2 separate regions of the Mus musculus genome follow, and region 1 is reported to be linked to region 2. Evidence: microRNA targets listed by miRTarBase, many of them from high-throughput screens and not tested one by one. Region 2 holds a microRNA gene; the other region holds the end of a gene's coding sequence.
The links. Region 2 holds the annotated microRNA mmu-miR-2136 (CUGGGUGUUGACUGAGAUGUG, at 1,823-1,843, opposite strand). A microRNA usually pairs through its seed, bases 2 to 8, with sites in the 3' UTR of a target mRNA and lowers its output. Matches are read on the target gene's strand: a 7mer-m8 pairs with bases 2 to 8, a 7mer-A1 pairs with bases 2 to 7 and ends in A, and an 8mer does both.

Region 1 (3,302 bases), not on the chromosome of region 2:
GCAGCTTCTTCATGTGCCTCTGGCTTCCCAGTATAGCAGTCATGTCCTGGGAGCTTGTCAAGAGGCAGGAATTGAAGCTGCCAGACTAGTGAAGGGCTGTCCATCGATGGCATGGTGTCATTTCCACCAGCCAAGCAAGTGGATTAGAAATGGTGGCCACCTTGTCACTAGAGGATGCCACCTGCTTTCCTGGAAAGTGTCTGGACTGAGTGTGGCTTTGGAAAGGTGGCGATGTGAATCAGGGGAGCCAACAATTGACTGAGTCTGTTCTTCCCTTGCCTCTAGAACTTGTTCCTAGCGTTCTGCATCATGCTCACAGTGGTCTGTATCCTGGAGATTGTTGTGTCTGTGGCTTCCCTGGGACTAAGTCTCCGAAGTATGTATGGCCGGAGCTCCCAGGCCCTGGTGAGTGTTCGGGAAGGGGCTTGCTGGGCAATGTGGGTCTCCGCAGTGAAGAGGGGAGAGGAACACATGGGTTCAGAAGTCCCTGATCTTCCTTCATCCCTCACTGTCTGTGGAGTGTGAACCCATCTTGTGTCCCAGCTGGCTTCTGCTACCTTGTGCCTTTCTGTGGCTGCCTTCACGCTCATTCCCCACTTTGTCGAAGTCTGTTCCTCACTTCTCCTACTCTGCCCCTCACCTTTCCTGCCGGAGAGCTCCTCCTTGCTGTCATTCCCTGTCGGTCCCTTCTTCTGCTGCTTTCAAGTGCGGAAACCTCCTCGGGCGTCTTCACCTTCCATTCATGAATCTCTTCCTCCTCTTGTCTTTTCAGAATGAAGAAGAGTCAGAGAGGAAGCTTCTTGATGGGCATCCAGCACCTGCGTCCCCGGCCAAAGAGAAGATCCCTGCTATCCTGTGATCCGCCCACACCCACGTGTCCCTGTCCATAGTAATCCAGGGAGGACGCGACTGTTCCCAGGGCCTCTTCTGGCCCCGCAGCACACACCTACTTCTGATGTAGCCACTATTCAGCCCTCTTTCTCTCCCTCTCTCCCCACTGTCCTCACGCCAATGTCCTTTCTTCCACGAACAGATATTATGTCATTTTATCCAATGCCGATAAAGGAGAAACAACTTGAAAATAATACCCTCTCACAGAAAGGTGTGGGCTCTGCATTGAGACAGACAATGAGCCAGGAAAGGCCATTTCTTGAGTTGTCATGTGGGCAGAAGAGTGGTGGTGGAGCCTGATAAATACTCTGGCAAAAACAACTTGTGGGAGAAAGGGTTTATCTTATTATCCTGTCCATCAGTTGGCGGGGGGAGCATCAAAAGCAGCAGGAGCCTGGAGAAGCTGGTCATATCACACCCACAATCAGAAGCAGAGAATGGTAAATGTGTACATACTAGTGCTTGGCTCTCTTTCTCTTCTCTTAGTTCAGGATTCCATGCCTAGGGAATGGTGGCTCCAGTGGTGGATGGGTCTTTACCCCCCAATTAACATAATCAAATTACTCCCACTCCCACCACATATACATGTTTACTGAGAAGCCCTTCTTTCAGGTGATCTTACATACTTTTAAGTTGATTCTCCCAGAACCCATCCCACTACATGTTCAAGGGTCAGTTGCTATAGACAGGCCTGTAGGTTTGGGTCTCATGGAATTAAAGACATATAATTTGTTTAGAAGGTGAGACATCAAAGAGTGTGAAGTGCCAGGCAAGAAAGTAGTGTGAAGTGTTTGTCGAGTTTCTGTCAGAGGTAAGGAACACAAGGAAGTTATAAAGATGACACTGGGGGAGGGGCTCCGATTGCTATTGGTGCTTAACTAGTTGGCGCAGTGCAAAGTGATGAGCATTCCCCTGCCTCAGTGTGCACTGGCATTGTTGCCTGGTCAATAGCTAAATCTCAAGAAACTATGGCTTACTTAGGCAGGAGTACTTCTTAGTTTTCATTCATAGATGCCCAGAGTTCCACCTGTGAAGATTCCAGCCCATAGTATAGCAGGGGCAGTCCTGGATGCCTCAGAGGCCAAGAGAGGGCACAGTTTCATCAACCTCTGTGGTGGAGTTGAAGGTCATAGGTGTTATGTGTTAAGATAACTATGTTCCCCTCAAAATCTATGTTGAATGTGAAATCCCCAGTGGCTCGGAATGCAACCATGTTTGGAGATTCAGGGGAAAGACAGCCATTTTTGAGCCAAAAAGCCCCAAGTGAAAATTGTTAGTGCCTCAATCCCAGGCATATTTTTATTAAGTCAAAAAGAGGAAGGGAGTATGTTAGAAAAAGGAACTGATAATGTCTCAGTCAGCAAGCCTATCTGTCCTGGTACTATTCCTGAGGAGACATAAATGTATATCTTCTCAGCACAGATAGGGAAGTAACAACAGACCAAAATAAGAATACCACCAAAGTCCAACTTCCATGGCCCAGTGACTTTACTGAGGTTACTTATAGGAGTGTGTGTTAGGGGATACTTACAGGAACATAGAGGGCTCAAAGGCACCACCATCATCTAAAACCCTAACATAAGTGACACTTTGTAAGACCTGGGATCATGGAATTATCTACATAACTTTCAGGCAGTTTGATGAGTGGAGAATTTTCTCTAGGCAGTTTGGCTGACCTAAGCCTCCTCTGTAATCTTCCCTGCTCATATAGTTTTAGGGAGAGTGGGGCCTTGTAAGTTTCTGGAACTCCCTGAGACTTTTGAGTTGTTTATTTTTCTATTCTTAGCAAGCCTTCCTTTAGGGCGTTTTTGGTCTTAATGAGCTACCCTCCAGAATGAAATGTTCCTATTCAGAGGAATTTTCTTTGTAACTGTCATGACACTGTCACACTGAAGGGACTGTTGGGTTTCCCATCCACCTGAGCATCCTCTCTCCTCTGAAGCAGGACCTTGCCTCTCCCACTTGAGACACTGTCATTTCTGTTTCCACTTACAGTAGGCAACTCTAGTGCACCACAGGACAGCCCCATAAGAGTGCCCCAGTCTTCAGTTTTGTATATGTGCTACCTGGGGTGACTCTGTACATGTTGAGGAAGAGGAGGGAGAAACTCCAGTCAGGGAGAGAAAAAACTTAGTAGAAACCACACCTTGCTCTTTGAAATCATGAAGTTGTTAGGGGCAGGAGATGTGGTGTAATGTGAGTTTATACCCCAGGATATTTTGATGCTAGCATCTGTTAAAGATATGAAGAAATCTGTAGGTTCATAGAAAGGAAGGTGAGGCAAATTACCGTTCAAAGGATCTCGATTAGGAGAGTCATAGCATTATAGCCTTAGACAGCCATGGTGAGACCTTCAAGTGGAAGGGCATTAGGAGAGATAGCTGCCATATATAGAATGATGGGGAGTTGGA
Region 2 (3,302 bases):
AAACCTCAGGCAGTGAATGTGTAAACCTCAGGCAGTGAGTGTGTAAGATCTGCTCTATCAACTAACAGTGAGTGTGTAAACTCTGCTCCATCAACTAAAGGAGAACAAAAAAGAAGCCTTTGCTCCAATCAACCCTGATTCCAGGATAGGAAATGGTAAACCTGCCCTCAAGTTCTAGCCTTTTATTATGTTTGTAAAAGAAAGCAATAGGCTTCAAATCATACCCTTCCCCTTACAGAGTGCATCAGGTCCTCAACTGCCAGTAGTATAATCTAGTTCAAAGGAAGGAACACTTAGTTTGGTTTTTCGGTTGTTGTTGTTTGTTGATGTTGTTGTTGTTGTTTCTTTTTTTCAGGATTTGAAGGATGAAGCATTTAATTACGCGTTCTGTAATTAGTTTTTAATTCTCACAAAAGGCACATGGGGGATGTGGTATGGTGGTCGTGTGCCATGCAAAGAGGCCATAGCATATTTCATATTGAAGGACTGGCCCAGGAAAGGGGTCCATGGAACACAGTTCGGGATCACCTTCATCTCTGTGCATCTACCGGAAATCCTAAAGATGGCTCCCATCAGAACAGTGAAGGAGGAAGGCAAAAAGTCTTTACAGATCAGAGTTTGCCAAGGCTTTCGCCCAAAGAGCTGACAGCTTAATTACCTTAGTTTTGTGGGACTATCGGTCATCCCCCCAAGAAGGAGGTAGAGCATCGCTGGGATGACATTTTTGCATTGGACAGTCTCAGAAGCCATGGGGCTTGATTGTCTCTTTTGAATTCTCCCTTCTGCCAGCGTTCTACATTCCTCACACACACACACACACACACACACACACAAATGGTTCCTTCAGGTAGCAAGCAATTACCGAAAGCTTCTCAAATATGAGGGGCCGTGAGGTATATCCAAGGCAATCAGGACCAAGAAGCCTGCTCTCCAGGCCCAAGACCAAACAGTGGGGCAGTAGTGACTGTGCATCCTCCAGCTCGCTCAGTGGGTGGGTGCCTGAGCAGGCGTGGCCCTGTGGGTGGGTGCCTGAGCAGGCGTGGCCCTGTGGGAAGAAGAGCTGATTTTCTGTATAAACTATAAAGTGACTTAGATCCCTTTTTTTTTTTTTGCCTCTGCCTGCTCATGGAAGAAAAAGGGCAAATGGACAGATTGTTTGCAGAAAGTGGCCTCAGTTATTCCCCCCACATATCCATACCTGTTTGCAGTATGATTCTGCAGTCCTTCCCATTAACATCTGTTTTCCAACTTCCTGTGTCTGACCTGGTTCCATGCTTTGCTTGGCCAGGGGAATGTTAGTGCAGTAACATGATGAGACCCGTGCCCAGCCTGTACTTGAAAGGACCTTGAAATTTTTTTTTCCTTGGAACCATGCCCTGCTAACATGCAAATGAGAAGCCCAGGCTAGCCTGCAGATCAACAAAACTATACTGTTATAGATGTGGATCTGAGTCCAGAGAGGGTGGCTGCTGAGAGTGCTTCTATCTGGACCAACTAACTGAACCAGGGACTTGTGTTTGATAGAAATAAAGGCAGTTAGTGAAAGAACAGAATGATGCTCTTGAGGATGAAAGCCAACAAGAGAGCCTGGCCAGTCCTGAGACATGCAAGTGGCTAGCCAGTAACTTCTCTGGGAAAGCTCAGAGAGTCACATCTGTTCTTTTTTGTTACGTGCAGCCCATGCCCAGAGGGGTTTCCAGACCTCTATCAATTGACTGCTTCATGATAATCTTGATCTTCACACACACACACACACACACACACACACACACACACACACACACACACACACTATTCTGTGACAAAATGGTCTGGTCCCCACCACATCTCAGTCAACACCCAGAATTAATTCAGACTTAAAACTTCCTAACTGACTCCTGACTGGATACGCGGATATGCCTGAGCCAACCAAGGTCTACACTTCCAACCCACAGGATAAGGAATTAAATTAGTGGTGGAAAATCTAAACCACAAAATTCCCACAGCAAGTCTCTGTGGGACAGTATTTCATAGTCTATTCCAGTGGTGAAGGTGAAGCAAGATGGTGCCAGAAAAACAACGCATCTGGCTTCTGAGCAACACAGCAAAGGCAACGGTCCATCCTAGACAGTGATTCTGCACTGGCCACCATGCAGCCCAACCTTCTGTATCAGGTCTTGGTCCTCCCACCTGGAAGGCTGTGAATACCAGACCCCCTGCATACAGAAGCCCTTCCCCTGCCTTTGGAAGGAGCTCCACCCCTAAGCCATAAGTGCTTGTGCTCTGTCTCTGTGGTCAGGTCTCACTAGCTCAGTCCCCACCATTCACCTGCTCAGACTGTCCTGCTGGTCTGAGAGAGCTCAGATGGGGTCTCTGCCTCCTCTTCCTGGTCCTGTTCACTTCCCTGCTTTCTGACCCCTGTCTACACGCTTGGACAGGGACTGTTTGCCCAGGGCTACTAATAGCCTCCTAGGTCCTATGTTGAATGGCTTTATATCCATTTTCTTCTTAGTTAACATTACTTTAGTACTTGACATTTCTCTTTGATTTAAGAGGGCTTACTTACGAACACTTCTGAGAATCTTGTTTTAGATCTCCTTTTATAAAAAAAAGTCTCAAGGCTTGAACGTGATCATCACAAAGGACTTGCACCATCAGAGTCCTTTCTAAAGAAAATGATGCATCCTTTTCCAAAGAGATGGCTGCTGTAATATGCTAAATATGAGTTGCTTGGTTTTTATTTTGTAGTGATGTTAGGGTTTTCAAGGATACCACAAGAACATGGCACACAGAATCAACTAAGCAAGGCTTGTGGGGGCTCACAGAGATTGAACTGACAATCAGGGATCCTGTATAGGTCTGACCTAGGTCCTCTGAATGTATGTTATGGTTGTGTAGCTTAGGATTCTTGTGAGACTCCTAACAGTAGGAATAACGGTTGTCCCTGACTCTTTTGCCTGCTTTCGGAACCCTTTTCCTCCCAGTAGGTCACCTTGTCCAGCCTGGATATGAGAATTTGTGCCTAGTCTTATTGTAGCTTGTTATGACACGTTTTGTTGATATCTCTAGGAGGCTTGCTCTTTTCTGAAGGAAAACATGAAGAGTAGATCTAGGAAAAAGAGGAGGTTGGGTGGGAGTGACTGGGAGGAGTCAAGGGAGGGGAAATTGTAGTCAGGATGTAATATGTGGGAGAAAGAAAGAAAGAGAGAAAGAAAGAAAGAAAGAAAGAAAGAAAGAAAGAAAGAAAGAAAGAAAGAAAGAAAGAAAGAAAGAAAGAAAGAAAGAAAGAAAGAAAGAAAGAAGGAAGGAAGGAAGGAAGGAAG

Region 1: the mRNA of Tmem176b is a reported target of mmu-miR-2136. Seed matches in the 3' UTR shown: 7mer-m8 at 867-873.

Annotation. Positions count from the first base shown.
Region 1 is chr6:48,831,610-48,834,911 of GRCm38, reverse strand. It overlaps Tmem176b (transmembrane protein 176B), which reads left to right. Exons shown (of 7, transcript NM_001164207.1): 6 at 286-405; 7 at 773-1,101. The coding sequence ends at 859. Among named protein-coding and RNA genes, the nearest start is that of Tmem176b, 8.1 kb to the left of the region's middle.
Region 2 is chr9:104,424,704-104,428,005 of GRCm38, reverse strand. It overlaps Mir2136 (microRNA 2136), which reads right to left and starts at 1,893; the gene lies at 1,819-1,893.